Linked DNA regions of Saccharomyces cerevisiae S288C. The protein of the gene in region 3 purifies or fractionates together with the protein of the main gene of each other region. This does not show direct contact. Each region holds a gene or a part of one and is shown on either strand. Other genes may lie near its edges.

Region 1 (4,336 bases), on a different chromosome or scaffold from region 3:
AAAATGGAGGAAAAAAAAAAAGACGAAATCCAAAAGGCTAAGGAAACGGGTAACCCGTGGTACCCGGGGCAGAATCAAACTTATAATTACTAAAGATATACCATATATTACGATCCCTGCGCCCGGCGTGCTCCACATTAAGTAAATGTCTGGAGTAAAATGAAGTCCGCCAATTCAGTCACAAAACATGACTACTGCCTCGTTCGCGATTTCTTCTTCCCTTACTTCATCATGTTCAAGCCCCCTCAGCTGCGCCCAAATGATTCTTCTTATCCTCTTGCATACTGCACCGAAAAAAAAAGTTAATAAGCAGCAGGATTTATAGGCGCGTGCGTGCAGCCTTAGACTGAAGGGGTGGAAAAACTTTAGGTAGGTTTGGTTCTCACTACCCAAAGAGCAATCGATAGGTATAAAAGTGAGCAATTGCTATCACAGCGAGCCTTATTGTTACAGCACAAATCACGCGTATTTTCAAGCAAATATCATGGGTCTCTGCGCATCTTCAGAAAAGAACGGCAGCACTCCTGACACGCAGACCGCCAGCGCTGGTAGTGACAACGTTGGCAAAGCGAAGGTACCACCAAAGCAGGAGCCACAGAAGACTGTGAGAACAGTCAACACAGCAAATCAACAAGAAAAGCAACAACAGAGGCAGCAGCAGCCGTCTCCGCATAATGTTAAGGACCGCAAGGAGCAAAACGGGAGCATTAATAACGCGATATCTCCCACGGCTACGGCAAATACAAGCGGATCGCAACAGATCAATATCGACTCTGCCCTGAGAGACAGGTCGAGTAACGTTGCAGCACAACCATCATTGTCGGACGCTTCAAGTGGCAGCAACGACAAAGAACTGAAAGTGCTACTGCTGGGTGCCGGTGAAAGTGGTAAGTCCACGGTATTGCAGCAGTTGAAGATTTTACACCAGAACGGGTTTAGCGAGCAGGAAATTAAAGAGTACATCCCCTTGATCTATCAGAATCTATTGGAAATTGGCAGGAACCTCATCCAGGCGAGAACAAGGTTTAACGTCAACTTGGAACCGGAGTGTGAACTGACGCAACAAGACCTGTCGAGAACCATGTCCTATGAAATGCCCAATAACTACACGGGCCAATTCCCGGAAGATATCGCGGGCGTAATATCTACGTTGTGGGCCTTGCCCTCAACACAAGATTTAGTCAATGGGCCTAACGCATCGAAGTTCTATCTAATGGACTCGACTCCTTACTTCATGGAAAATTTCACCAGGATCACTTCGCCCAATTACAGACCCACCCAGCAGGACATATTAAGATCGAGACAGATGACGTCAGGGATTTTTGACACCGTCATTGATATGGGGTCGGATATCAAGATGCATATTTACGACGTGGGTGGACAGCGTTCCGAAAGAAAAAAATGGATACACTGCTTCGACAATGTCACTCTGGTCATATTTTGCGTTTCTCTATCGGAGTACGACCAGACGCTGATGGAGGACAAGAACCAGAACAGGTTTCAGGAATCGCTGGTGCTTTTCGATAATATTGTCAACAGTAGATGGTTCGCGCGCACGTCTGTCGTACTCTTTCTGAATAAAATCGACCTTTTTGCTGAAAAACTAAGCAAAGTGCCTATGGAAAATTACTTCCCAGACTACACCGGCGGGTCAGACATCAACAAGGCTGCTAAGTACATACTCTGGAGGTTTGTTCAGTTAAACAGGGCGAATCTAAGCATATATCCTCACGTGACACAGGCCACAGACACGTCGAATATAAGATTAGTATTTGCCGCCATCAAAGAAACAATTTTGGAAAATACATTGAAAGACTCTGGAGTGTTACAATGAATGCACAGCTAAAACAGAGACAAAACTGCATGCCTCTTCTCCCCTTTATTATCACCTTTAAAAAAGATAAAAAAAGAAACTGGAAAAAAGGTAAAAAAAAAAAAAAAATTAAATAAATACGAATACGTTTTCTCATGACCATTGTACTAGTAATCACAACCATGATACTTGAATAACTTTTCTGTTTTGTGCTGTATTAAGCACAACCGTTATTTTTTAATTTATAGCGTTATACCACTATATTATTGTAGTCATTATAGTTATTATCCCGGGTAACAAAAATTTCATTCCAACGAGGTAATAGTTCCACTTTTCAGGCAGGAGGACGAAAAACATTTGCCACCCAAGAAAGAGACAAAGCAGTAGGTAAGGCATTCATCACACAATTTGAAAGGGGGTATAGTAAAAAAAATTCAATTGAGCAAATAGAATGGCTAGCACTGCAGTAATGATGGACGTGGATTCTTCCGGGGTCAATGACTTGCACCATTCTGAGAAGAAATATGCGGAAGAAGATCAGGTTCAGGAACTATTGAAAGTTTTGAATGAGATCTCCAAGACCACTTTAACGCTGGACCCAAGATATATATGGAGGAGTTTAAAGGACTTGAGCTCTTTAAGGAACCAGGAGCTTTTGAATGCGGAAACTTTATGTTTCACAGTGAATGTGCTGTACCCTGATTCTTCTTCATTCAAGAAGAATCTGCTGAAGTTCATTACTTCTAACCATAAATCGTCCGTACCGGGGTCAGCTGAGCTTAGAAACTCATATCCAGCCTCTTTTTATTCCGTAAACACTGAGAAAAAGACCATTGAAGTGACAGCTGAAATTAATTGCTTCATGCATCTACTAGTCCAGTTGTTTTTATGGGACAGTAAAGAATTAGAACAATTGGTAGAGTTTAATAGGAAGGTTGTTATCCCAAATTTATTGTGTTATTACAATTTGCGTTCCTTGAATTTAATCAACGCTAAGTTATGGTTCTACATCTACTTGAGTCATGAAACGTTAGCGCGCAGCTCCGAGGAGATTAACAGCGACAACCAAAATATAATCTTAAGGTCCACGATGATGAAGTTTTTGAAAATCGCTTCCCTGAAGCACGACAACGAAACCAAAGCCATGCTGATTAACTTGATCTTGAGAGATTTTTTGAATAATGGCGAGGTTGATAGCGCGTCTGATTTCATTTCTAAACTAGAATATCCTCACACAGACGTTTCCAGTTCATTGGAGGCAAGATATTTCTTCTATTTATCGAAAATTAACGCCATTCAACTGGATTATTCCACTGCGAACGAGTACATTATTGCAGCCATAAGAAAAGCCCCACATAATTCCAAGAGTTTAGGGTTCTTACAGCAATCAAACAAACTGCATTGTTGTATTCAATTACTCATGGGTGATATTCCAGAATTATCATTTTTCCATCAATCAAATATGCAGAAATCTCTCCTTCCTTATTACCATTTGACCAAAGCCGTTAAATTAGGTGACTTGAAAAAATTCACATCTACAATCACAAAGTATAAGCAGTTGCTATTGAAGGATGACACCTATCAACTCTGTGTTAGATTAAGATCTAATGTTATCAAGACAGGTATCAGGATCATCTCCTTAACGTATAAAAAAATTTCATTAAGAGATATTTGTTTGAAACTGAATTTGGATTCGGAGCAAACTGTAGAATACATGGTTTCAAGGGCTATTAGAGATGGTGTTATTGAAGCCAAGATTAATCACGAGGATGGCTTTATCGAAACCACAGAATTACTAAACATTTATGATAGTGAAGATCCTCAGCAAGTATTTGATGAAAGAATCAAATTTGCCAACCAATTACATGATGAATACCTTGTTTCAATGAGGTACCCTGAGGATAAAAAGACTCAACAAAATGAGAAAAGTGAAAATGGTGAAAATGATGATGATACGCTAGATGGTGATTTGATGGATGACATGTCTGATATCTCGGATCTCGACGATTTGGGATTCTTATAAGGGCGCATAAAAAATAAATAACTACCATTCATAACAGAAATTCATTCGTATATACATAAAGTTCTCATAAACGTATATATATATATATATATATACTTATTGATATCAAAGTGTGTTACTTTCTACATTCATAGACGGGGAAGAAAAGTGAGGAAAAGTTGTTTTCTCTTGTGCACTGCAGCCCTTTGAAAAAGTAGAACTGCAGAAAAAATAACTGAACGTAAAGCATTATTTACTTTTCAAAGGCAAAAGAGATAGAGCCAAAAAAATTGTAAGCAGCTTAAAAGCCATAATGACAACGGAAGATCCAGATTCAAATCACTTAAGTTCCGAAACTGGCATTAAATTGGCATTGGACCCGAACTTAATTACATTGGCACTAAGTTCTAATCCAAACTCTAGCCTTCATTCACCAACGTCTGATGAACCCGTACCTGAATCTGCAGGAAAAGCAGATACTAGTATTCGACTAGAAGGTGATGAGTTAGAGAATAAAACTA
Region 2 (3,923 bases), on a different chromosome or scaffold from region 3:
TCTTGATTTTCTTTCTCAACTATAAAAGTGAGTAATATTTTTTGAAAGAAGTAAACCACCTCCGGTATGTACCGTTTGGAAATGCGTTGATATTGTGAAACAATCCTTACCAAGACAGCGCCAAAAGCTATCCTCTTTAAAGAATTAAACTTGATTTGTTCCAGGAACTGGCTCATTAAAATCAATGCTGGAGTTATTACTAAATGGTACTGGTCCGAGGTGGAGAAAAGAATACCAATAATGGAAAAAAATACCAGATCACCATTTGATAGAGCATCAAAATGGTTCTTTTTATAGCGTGCTTGCATTTCATTGATATAATCTCTACACTCCTCGGAAAGCTCTCTATTATATTTCTCTGAAAGGGATTTTAGAATTGAGATCAATGCATTTTGTGTACGTTTAAAACTTTGAACGTTTTTAAGGTAGTTTTGATTGCTTAGAAAAATGATGTGTCTCAGTAAAACAGCGGTGAATTTTCCTAACTTTTCCTTATTACCTTCAGCCAATTTTGGTTGGTAAGCTTTGATAATATTCTTAACAATCTTAGGATGATCATCTAAGTCTAATTTTTTTACTTGATCTAATAACGCATCATGAGTTCTAGGGCATGAAATGGAAATGTTCTTTTTCTTTAAAATTTGAGAAAACCCTTCATCTCTGCCTTGATCTTCAAATTTGATATCATCATCAGAATCAGCAATACCGTCATTATCGTCTTCATAGTCTTCTTCATTTTCCCAGAATCCATCATCCAAATCCTCTACTCCTCTTTCTTCGCCTTCTTCTAATTCAATCATACCGTTCATACGATCAAGACGCTGTTGTTCCAACTCCCGTTTTTTTTCTTCAGCTTCAGCGTTTTTCTCCTCTTCAGTTTTAGTTCTATCAGAGGGTGCAGCTCTTTTGTCCAATTGTAGTTCTTTCACTTTGATATCATACTCCTTATCTAGATCGGTCTTAGGTTCCATTGGATTCTTCTTGGGTTGCGTCATCATCAATTCAGACATAACATCCTCGAAATTATCATCCAGATTATCTATTTGATCTTCCATTATACCTTGAGCCTTTTGTCTTTCTTGTTTGTAAAATTTTGATTTGGCAATGACCTCTTTCATGACTTCAGCTTTGGTTTTTTTTCTTTGAGGTTGCTGTAGCTCAGCATCATCTTCATTGAATCGTTTGGAAGCTAAAAAATCCTCTTCATCATTGGCAAGCTCATCTTCTAGGGACAGCGATTGACCTAAATGTGTAAGACCGTCTCCAAACATGTCACCGTCGTCTTCATCGTCTTCAAGATTGAATAAATTTGCGTTTCTCTTTGATTGGCTTTGTCTTTCTCTGGTGAAACGTTCCAACATTTTTTCTTCTTCCGTCAACAACTTGTCTCTTTCACCAAATCTCTTATCGATCACACCACCACGTTTATTCTTCATCATTTTTCTTGCTTCAAATGCACGCTTTCTTTGTTCTTCACCGATCTGTTTAGAGATACCAGGCTTACCCACAGCAATACGATCAGCAGTTTTAGAAGGCAGACCATCTCTCCTCTTATTCCTTGCAGCCTTTATTTCAAACGGATTAAACTCTTCTCTGATTTCAGCAATGGCCTTTTTTTTTTCTTCACGATCATACTCCTTCGCTTGTCTTTTGGAATTCTTTTTATTCTTACTTTTGACGTTTGTTTGACCTGTGAGTCCACGGGCCTTCAAGGCGGCCTTTAAATTCTTAAGTTGTGAACCGGCCATGTATTTGATCTTCCCTTTTATTTGCTTCTCAACTGTACTATTTACAGTAATAATTAGTGCAACCTTCAGATGCTTCTCGCTAAATGCTCATCTCTAAATTATCATTATTATTCCTAATAAATCCTAAAATTTTTCACTCGTTCTGTACGGCTCATCGCCCCAATATTACCCGTCTTGTATGTGATCTTTTTGACTTTTCGGTGGCAAAATGCAAAGGGGAATCCAAGGAAAAACCATAACAGGACACTACATCAGAGATAATCTTGAATTAAGAGAGTAGAGGAATATACTGCTGGGCTCACTACCATTTTTGTTGCTAGAGTAAACGTAGAGAAAGATGTCAAGAGATGCACCAATTAAGGCTGACAAGGATTATAGCCAAATTTTGAAGGAAGAGTTTCCTAAGATCGATTCGCTCGCTCAAAATGATTGTAACTCTGCTTTAGACCAACTGTTAGTGTTGGAGAAGAAAACCAGACAAGCTTCAGATCTGGCCTCCTCGAAAGAAGTTTTGGCCAAGATTGTAGATCTGCTAGCATCAAGGAATAAGTGGGACGACCTAAATGAGCAATTGACTCTACTCTCAAAAAAGCATGGTCAGTTGAAATTGTCAATTCAGTATATGATACAAAAGGTTATGGAATATTTGAAAAGCTCGAAATCTTTGGATTTAAACACCAGAATTAGTGTCATTGAAACTATCAGGGTGGTTACAGAGAACAAAATATTTGTAGAAGTGGAAAGAGCTAGGGTCACCAAAGATTTGGTGGAAATTAAGAAAGAAGAGGGTAAGATTGATGAAGCTGCAGACATCTTGTGTGAGTTACAGGTTGAGACCTATGGCTCCATGGAAATGTCTGAGAAAATTCAGTTTATATTAGAGCAAATGGAATTGAGTATATTAAAAGGTGATTATTCCCAAGCCACGGTGCTTTCAAGAAAAATTCTGAAAAAAACTTTTAAAAATCCAAAATACGAGTCATTGAAGCTAGAATATTATAATCTTCTGGTAAAAATTAGTTTGCACAAGAGAGAATACCTAGAAGTTGCGCAGTATCTGCAAGAAATTTATCAAACAGACGCCATTAAATCAGATGAGGCTAAGTGGAAACCTGTTTTATCGCACATTGTATATTTCTTAGTCCTTTCACCTTACGGCAATTTACAAAATGATTTAATTCACAAAATCCAGAATGATAACAACCTGAAAAAATTAGAAAGCCAAGAATCTTTAGTAAAATTGTTTACTACGAATGAGTTGATGAGATGGCCAATTGTTCAAAAAACCTATGAGCCCGTCTTAAATGAGGATGATTTGGCATTTGGTGGAGAAGCTAATAAGCATCACTGGGAAGATTTACAAAAAAGGGTCATCGAGCACAATTTAAGAGTCATTTCCGAATACTATTCCAGAATTACTTTACTAAGATTGAATGAATTGCTGGACCTAACGGAGAGCCAGACGGAAACATACATCAGTGATTTGGTAAACCAGGGCATCATATACGCTAAAGTTAATCGCCCAGCCAAAATCGTGAATTTTGAAAAACCAAAAAACTCAAGCCAATTATTGAACGAATGGTCACATAATGTTGACGAACTATTAGAACATATAGAAACAATAGGCCATTTAATTACAAAAGAGGAAATCATGCACGGTTTGCAAGCTAAATGAAGAGATTTTCGAGTAAGTGTCGGATTATCTCAGATCCGGTTTTGATTTTAAATCTGTTACTAATCGAAATGTGTATTTACGTACGTGAGATAAAATTATCTATGCATATATATAACTCAAATGGAAAATGGCCACGTATTGCTCTCATTCTCTTCACTTGCTTACACAAAACATAAGGTGACAATTAATGGAATTTTAGTTTTTCAATTTTTCAGGGGAAAGAAGACACCCAAAAAAAAAGTGAAAAGTCAAAACGGTAAACTGTTTATGGTATTTAAATGACATTAATAGCAGCGTAAAGAGTCATTTTTTCGTTTGATTAGCAAAACTCTGAACATTAATTACTACACCTATAGACATATCTTTAAACAGTGAAATATTTTTTTCATTTAGTAAACAAGAATTAAACTTTGAATATTTTTTTTTCGATTAACTTATGTCACTTTAGCCTATACTTTCTTCGAACATTTTTCCTTTCATTTTGACTCATGATATTAGAT
Region 3 (8,163 bases):
CCCTGAAGAAAGTGCATGGATTTGGCCCATGGATGAAGAGACGAAACTATATTTCGATGTAAATGAAAAAATTAGATTCAGAATCGAAAGAGAAGTTTTTGTTGATGTGAAGCCAAAATCACCCAAAGAACGAGAATTGGAGGAAAGAGCTCAATTAGAGAATGAGATTGAGGGTAAGAATGAAGAAACTCCTCAAAACGAAAAACCTCCAGCATATGCCCTATTAGGTAGTTGTCAAACTGATGGCATGGGACTCGTTAGTTGGTGGGAATGATAGATAAGGACGCCACTGACTTCAATAAAACATTTAATAATAATAGTAACAGTAATAATGAGGATAATAATATATAATAAACGTGAATTTTCTTTAGCATTATATACGCTAATTCTTTCTCTATTTGAGGGGATACTCTCGTATCCTTTTTATCTCGATAGTTGTAGTTGTACTTGTTGTTTTTATTAACCCTTCTCATAATATATAATAAAAAAGTACATTGACGTCAATTATATTGCATATAACGCGATGTGGAACTAAACTTCTTGTATCCGCTAATAACTTTATCAACAGCCTTCAGGAAATCCTTTTCAGTAGCCACCTTTCTTCTTGCTCTAATGGCAAACATACCGGCTTCTGTGCAAACAGATCTTAATTCTGCACCGGTAGAGTTTGGACACAGTCTGGAGATAAGTTCCCATCTGATGCCACGTTCCACACTCATTGATTTAGAGTGAATACGGAAGATATTTGCACGACCTTCCAAGTCAGGTAATGAAAACTCTACCTTACGATCAATTCTACCGGGTCTCAATAAAGCTGGATCTAAAGTGTTGGGCCTATTGGTGGCAAACATCACTTTAATGTTACCACGAGGGTCAAACCCGTCTAACTGTGTAATCAGTTCTAACATAGTTCTTTGAACTTCATTATCACCACCAGCACCATCATCAAAACGAGCACCACCAACAGCGTCGATTTCATCGAAGAATATAATGCAAGCCTTTTTGGTACGAGCCATTTCAAATAATTCTCTAACCATACGAGCACCTTCACCGACATATTTTTGCACTAGCTCAGACCCAATGACCCTAATAAAAGTTGCATCAGTTCTATTAGCAACAGCACGAGCACATAATGTCTTACCAGTACCAGGTGGCCCATATAATAAGATACCCTTTGGTGGATCAATACCAAGAGTAGCAAATCTTTCTGGAGATAATAAGGGCAGCTCGACAACTTCTCTCAGCTTTTCAATTTGGTCTTTACAGCCACCGACATCGCTATAAGTAACGTCAGGCTTTTCTTCAACGGTCATCATAGTAACTGATGGGTCAATCCTTGGAGGCAATGGAAGTTCAATATTATATTTCGACCTATCGACACCTACACGCATACCTTCTTCTATATCTGTTGGAGAAACACGTTCACCTAATCCGACGACAAATTTGGCAATTTGCTTAAGATTTATCACGTACTTGGCATCTTCATCGTCTTCGTCTGCATCAGTAGACTGTTGATTGCTATTACTATTGCTATTGCCGCTGTTATTATTATCTGTCGTAGTTTCGTCACTTTCACCATTCCCCTTAATGATCTTCGTGCAACGAGCGACTTGTAAGGGATGTTCTTCGCCCAGTCTCTGCCTATCACCCATAATATCCCATAGATGGGAGGGTGCTAACCCTGTATCGCTTTCTTTCACACCGGCCTTTTCTTTGATTCTCGCTTCAATGTCTTTTAAGTCATTCTCAGTTTGCTTTAATTTGGCTGCGTATGGAGCTGCACCGTATGATTTTAAGACTTGAATGTCACCTTCTGTTAAGGGTACGATCTTGTCATCATCAGGTTTTTTATCATCGTCTTCCAAAGGTGCCTTGTATTTTTCCCAGTCTTCTTTTGGTGGCATTCCGTATAGTTCCTAACTTCCTTGATTTATTACGATGGTTCAAAAAAATATCTCAATTGAATATTGCTTTGAATTCTCATCTCCTTGGAAAATACTGTATATACCCAGTTCTTTGTATAGTAAGCTGCATGCTAGTTTAGTTTTCGGGTGGCAAAATTCGGTAATCCTATTCACTATACCTTTTCCTCTCGTCCGGGTAAACTCAGCCATACCAAATTGACAAGGATAGTACATTTATGCTAATCATAATTAAAACAAGGTATGTGTGTTCCAGATGCATATAGATAACGAGTCATATATAAATATATATATATGTGTCTGTACATGATGTACTCGGTCAAAAATGGCGGATTACTGGCTCCACATTTTAATCGTCTGCCATGACGTGTAGGCCATGACAGCAACTCCAAATACTATGACGATTAAATCTAAAAGAAGCCTGGCTCTCGAGGTTCCAGATAAGATGGACGCCTTATAGTGCAACAATGGCGGGTATATGTAGATCAATGGGATACACGCGAAGGAGCCTACCAGTGATACAAATTTGTCCAAATCGTTGGCGCCTACCCAAGCGAGGATAGATGTCAGGACGACAATAGCGCAACGGAAATAGTTTTTCAACCATTTGACTTTCGGGTTGTATTTACCAGATGCATTTGAGGGAAAAGTCCAGTTTTCCAAAATACGTATCGCGGGAAATAGCTGCAACGGCGTGGATAACAAAATGGCTAATGCATACAGTAATTGAACAGTGAGAGTATAGGAAGTGTCCTGCGGAAAATTCAATAAAACAACAGTTTTCACGTCAGATCCAAAAGCGGCATAGCATAAGAGACCACATGATATGAAAATCACTGCCACGATACACATCACCGCGGACAACGATGGCCGGAAATGCTTCGGGTGTTTCATTGACTCCTGAATGGGGATAAGTAGGCCTATACCTTCAAAGGTGAATATGGCGGTACCGATGAACAACGACCAGTCCGCTTTATTGAACATAAGCATTGTATCGGATGCGACACCATTAACAGCAATATAATAAATGGAGTAAACGTAAACATAAACCAATCCCAGTAGAATAAATAGATCTGCTATTAACGCGGTCCCACTTAACTTGGCTATGTTTCTTGTCAAAGATAGTGGGACAAAGATGAGTACTTGTGCAAAGATATAGGTGGCTAGACTGATGCTGCCCGGTTTCAAATGGAAGAAATTTTCAGAAAAGACCTGCAAATTAGTTGCAGTGAAAACAGTGTATGCAGCAGAAAACCCGATTTGTGACAAGGCGATAGACGAAAGAATGGCAAATTTCATTTTGGGCCCATATAGTATACGACCCATGTCACCGTACCCATCTACGCCTACTTTGTCCTTGGTGGTAATCAATGATACGAAACATCCATAAGAAATGAGGGCACACGAGAGTAGACAAAGGGCGCTAAATCCCCAACCACCGTTATGGAAAGCCTTTGGTAGGAAAAGCACACCTGTCCCAACAAATGACTTTAACAAGAGCAGCACCGCCTTTACCGTAGATGATTTGTGAGGATGGCGCCCGTGTTCACGAGAAACTAGCTGGGTGCTTTCCGTTTCCAAAGCTTCCTCCTCTGGCTCCTCTTCAGTTTCTTCCTCCTCCTCCTCTTCTTCCGATAAATCTTCACCAGCGAAGTGGCCATACAAGGTCAAAAATTCAATAAAGTTCCTGGTGAAAAAATTCGGTATGGGCGCATCAACGTTATGTTTCCTGCGCTTCTGTATTATAAAAGATCTTCTGAATCCACCAGGAGCCCTGATTTCTTCGTGCGTCATCGGTGCGGGCGCCAGGCCTATTGCCGCTAGAGGATTCCCATTCGCCTCCGAGTTGTTGTTAAGGTGAGAGGAAGATGCTATAGAAGCGGCAGAAAAGCTCATAGACCTTTTACGATTCGAGAATGAGGGCGCTTGTGAAGGTATTGAGGTGGAAAGTGCAGGTTGACTTGGGTACTGATACTGCGATGGTGATGAAGGATGGTCGTTTGTCCACTTATACAGATCTCTTGTAATGTCTCCGCCTTGCAATTGTAGGCTGTTACTCGGGTTTCTTATCAAGTGGCGTGCCACGGCATCTACCACATGTGGCTCAGGGTTATTTATGCTCACTTCAAGCGTGCCATTGTTACAGGAAGTGTGCGACGCGTCGGGTACGCTAGCATGCACCGCTTCATTGTTCACAAGCAGCGGCGGCTTTTTTAGCAAACCACCTGTAGTTCCACTAGATTTTCTACTTCTGCTTCTACTTCTACTATTACCGTTGCTATTGCCACCGTTGCCGTCCGTTAAAGGTGAGCCAGACGCATGCGAGATTCCTGTACTGCCTCCGTTGTTATTTTTTTTGTTGTTGTTGCTCTGCGTTCTTCCAGAGCCACTTGAAACCTCTTTTCCATTCATATCCGCGATGCAATCCCTTATACGCTTCTTAATAAACTTTGCTTCCCACTCTTTCACTACTGACCATCGATCCTTCTTATTTCATAGCCTCACGAGCACAAATGATAATACGAGAAAAAGGCCCGACCGGGTAACCAACCCTTTTACTATCTCTCGCTCTACCTTTAGTAATAATGTCGTCTATATAAGGATTTACTCATACAGTAGTCCAAAATATACCTTTCCGTGCTAAAAGTAGCTCCCAAAAGTAGCGGAGGTGAGGATCATCCTCTATTGCCAGGTACCAAGCTCGCTGGAAAGTCGTTATGGAGTCACGGCTTTGAGGGCGGGGGTGGACCAATCACAGCGCAGAACGCGGCGCCGAGCAAGCGCTGGACCAAGGGATCCGGGCCTCTTCTATTGGTTGTTTGTTTGCTCAAACCCGTTATATATTCAGGCATCCTCGACTCTAACCTTTTGCCACGTCGAGGCGGCTTGAAGCTTAAATAGCACTAATAAACTAGTAGACACATTATAACTAACCAGTAGTATACTTTGCACTTTCGATATTCTTTTCACTAATCTCCTCCCCAACCCCTTATTGAAGATAAAAAGAAAGAAAGAAAGAAAGAAAAAAATCCAATTTCATAGTACGAAGAAGAACGAGAATAAAGATGCTATCGCTAAAAAAATCAGCGCTCTCCAAGTTGACTTTGCTCAGAAACACAAGAACATTTACATCGTCAGCTTTGGTGCGCCAAACGCAGGGCTCTGTAAACGGTTCCGCGTCCAGATCTGCAGACGGGAAGTACCACATAATAGATCACGAGTATGACTGTGTGGTAATCGGTGCCGGTGGTGCCGGCCTTAGAGCGGCCTTTGGTCTTGCCGAGGCGGGCTACAAGACTGCTTGTATATCCAAGCTTTTCCCCACCAGATCCCACACTGTTGCTGCTCAGGGTGGTATCAATGCCGCTCTGGGAAATATGCACAAGGATAACTGGAAATGGCATATGTACGATACTGTGAAAGGATCTGATTGGCTAGGTGACCAGGACTCCATCCATTACATGACCAGGGAAGCGCCCAAATCGATCATTGAACTGGAACACTATGGTGTTCCTTTTTCAAGAACTGAAAACGGTAAGATCTACCAAAGAGCCTTTGGTGGTCAGACCAAGGAGTACGGTAAGGGTGCTCAGGCCTATAGAACATGCGCTGTCGCAGACAGGACAGGACATGCTCTTTTACACACGCTTTATGGCCAAGCTTTAAGACATGACACACATTTCTTTATTGAGTACTTTGCCCTCGATCTGTTGACCCATAATGGCGAGGTCGTTGGTGTCATCGCTTATAATCAGGAAGACGGTACCATCCACAGATTCAGAGCACACAAGACCATTATTGCCACTGGTGGCTATGGTAGAGCATACTTCTCTTGTACCTCTGCTCACACATGTACGGGTGACGGTAATGCCATGGTTTCGCGTGCTGGTTTCCCCTTGCAAGATTTAGAGTTTGTTCAATTCCATCCTTCAGGTATATATGGGTCTGGTTGCTTAATCACTGAAGGTGCTCGTGGTGAAGGTGGTTTTTTGGTTAATTCTGAAGGTGAAAGATTCATGGAACGTTACGCTCCTACGGCCAAGGATCTAGCTTGTAGAGATGTCGTTTCCAGAGCAATCACCATGGAGATCAGAGAAGGCAGAGGTGTTGGTAAGAAAAAGGACCACATGTACTTACAATTGAGCCATCTACCTCCGGAAGTTCTAAAGGAAAGATTGCCAGGTATCTCTGAAACAGCAGCCATTTTTGCTGGTGTAGACGTCACCAAGGAACCTATTCCCATTATTCCTACCGTCCACTATAACATGGGTGGTATTCCCACGAAGTGGAATGGTGAGGCATTAACCATTGATGAAGAAACTGGCGAAGACAAGGTTATTCCCGGTTTAATGGCTTGTGGTGAAGCCGCTTGTGTTTCTGTCCATGGTGCCAATAGATTAGGTGCCAATTCCTTGTTGGATCTTGTTGTCTTTGGTCGTGCTGTTGCCCATACGGTTGCTGACACTTTACAGCCTGGGTTGCCACACAAACCACTACCTTCTGATTTGGGTAAAGAATCCATCGCAAACTTGGATAAACTAAGAAATGCTAATGGTTCAAGATCTACGGCAGAAATTAGAATGAATATGAAACAAACTATGCAAAAGGATGTTTCCGTCTTTAGAACACAATCATCTTTAGATGAAGGTGTTCGGAACATTACTGCAGTAGAGAAGACCTTTGATGATGTGAAGACGACCGATAGATCAATGATCTGGAATTCTGACTTGGTTGAAACTCTGGAGCTACAGAACTTATTAACCTGTGCCTCCCAAACAGCTGTTTCCGCTGCTAATAGAAAGGAATCCCGTGGTGCTCATGCAAGAGAGGATTATCCAAATAGAGATGACGAACATTGGATGAAGCATACATTATCCTGGCAAAAGGACGTCGCTGCCCCAGTGACTTTGAAATACAGAAGGGTTATCGATCACACTTTGGACGAAAAGGAATGTCCTTCCGTACCTCCAACTGTAAGAGCCTACTAATTTGAACCTCATTGTATTTTACGGAAAAGAATATCATACTCTTCTTTAATTGCACTTTTTTTGTGCGTTTGCACTTTTTTACCACTGACTCACTAATTTGTATATATACCTATTAATATACATTTACATAAAGTTTCTTCTTATACATACTCTATTTATTTAGTTATTTATTAACTTACTATTTATTTATTTATTTATTTATTTATTTATTACTTTCAATTTTTTATCGAGGCATTTCCTTAGTTCTCCAATTTTTTTTCTCATTAGCCAGATGTGTGTTTTTCTGGCCCTCACAAAAAATGAGCAGGAGAAAGTCATATGGCGAACGTAAATATGTAACTAAAAATTAAGATGGGCAGACATTTATCATTTTGCTTATGACTAAATTGCGAATTGCTGTACAAGGGTGCTGTCATGGTCAGCTAAACCAAATTTATAAAGAAGTGTCACGAATCCATGCGAAGACTCCCATCGATCTATTAATTATTCTTGGAGATTTTCAAAGTATTCGTGATGGTCAGGATTTTAAGTCAATAGCCATACCACCAAAATATCAAAGACTCGGTGATTTCATATCATACTACAATAATGAGATTGAAGCCCCAGTCCCTACTATTTTTATTGGCGGTAATCATGAATCGATGAGACATTTAATGCTTCTGCCACATGGTGGTTATGTAGCAAAGAACATTTTTTATATGGGATACTCTAACGTTATATGGTTTAAAGGCATAAGGATAGGTTCATTGAGCGGGATATGGAAAGAGTGGGATTTCAATAAGCAACGACCAGATTGGAATGACCTAGAAAATAACAATTGGAAAGCTAACATAAGAAATCTGTATCATGTAAGAATTTCTGATATTGCTCCTCTTTTTATGATCAAGCATCGTATTGATATTATGCTGAGCCACGATTGGCCCAATGGAGTCGTTTATCATGGCGATACTAAGCACTTGTTGAAGCTTAAGCCTTTTTTTGAGCAAGATATTAAAGAGGGAAAACTAGGCAGCCCAGTGACCTGGCAACTACTAAGAGATTTGCGGCCTCAATGGTGGTTGAGCGCCCATTTGCATGTCAGGTTCATGGCCTCCATTAAGCATAATAAAAGAAGCCACGAACCGCCTAATAAGTCAACTTCAAAGACAAAAAAAAACAATAATGAAATAGATTTGGATTTATCCAGTGACGAGGACGAAAGGTCTGGTATTATGAATTGCCAAGAAGAGAATGAGTATGATTCCAAATACGGC

The links. The genes of interacting proteins can lie anywhere in the genome.
Region 1: the proteins of RPT1 (region 3) and RPN3 purify together in Saccharomyces cerevisiae (affinity purification with mass spectrometry; 5 studies listed by BioGRID, with this or other methods). This does not show direct contact.
Region 2: the proteins of RPT1 (region 3) and RPN5 purify together in Saccharomyces cerevisiae (affinity purification with mass spectrometry; 7 studies listed by BioGRID, with this or other methods). This does not show direct contact.

Annotation. Positions count from the first base shown.
Region 1 is NC_001137.3:194,684-199,019, forward strand, and holds RPN3 (proteasome regulatory particle lid subunit RPN3), read left to right. Parts: upstream 1-2,264; coding exon 2,265-3,836; downstream 3,837-4,336. Other genes in the region: GPA2 (guanine nucleotide-binding protein subunit alpha), read left to right, coding at 485-1,834; SRB4 (Srb4p), read left to right, coding at 4,129-4,336. UniProt on the Saccharomyces cerevisiae protein: Acts as a regulatory subunit of the 26S proteasome which is involved in the ATP-dependent degradation of ubiquitinated proteins.
Region 2 is NC_001136.10:188,839-192,761, forward strand, and holds RPN5 (proteasome regulatory particle lid subunit RPN5), read left to right. Parts: upstream 1-2,085; coding exon 2,086-3,423; downstream 3,424-3,923. Other genes in the region: snoRNA-binding rRNA-processing protein NOP14, read right to left, coding at 1-1,748; LDB17 (Ldb17p), read left to right, coding at 3,912-3,923. UniProt on the Saccharomyces cerevisiae protein: Acts as a regulatory subunit of the 26S proteasome which is involved in the ATP-dependent degradation of ubiquitinated proteins.
Region 3 is NC_001143.9:167,954-176,116, reverse strand, and holds RPT1 (proteasome regulatory particle base subunit RPT1), read right to left. Parts: upstream 1,905-8,163; coding exon 501-1,904; downstream 1-500. Other genes in the region: DNA-directed RNA polymerase III subunit RPC25, read left to right, coding at 1-274; AVT3 (Avt3p), read right to left, coding at 2,256-4,334; succinate dehydrogenase flavoprotein subunit SDH1, read left to right, coding at 4,988-6,910; DBR1 (RNA lariat debranching enzyme), read left to right, coding at 7,288-8,163. UniProt on the Saccharomyces cerevisiae protein: The 26S proteasome is involved in the ATP-dependent degradation of ubiquitinated proteins. The regulatory (or ATPase) complex confers ATP dependency and substrate specificity to the 26S complex.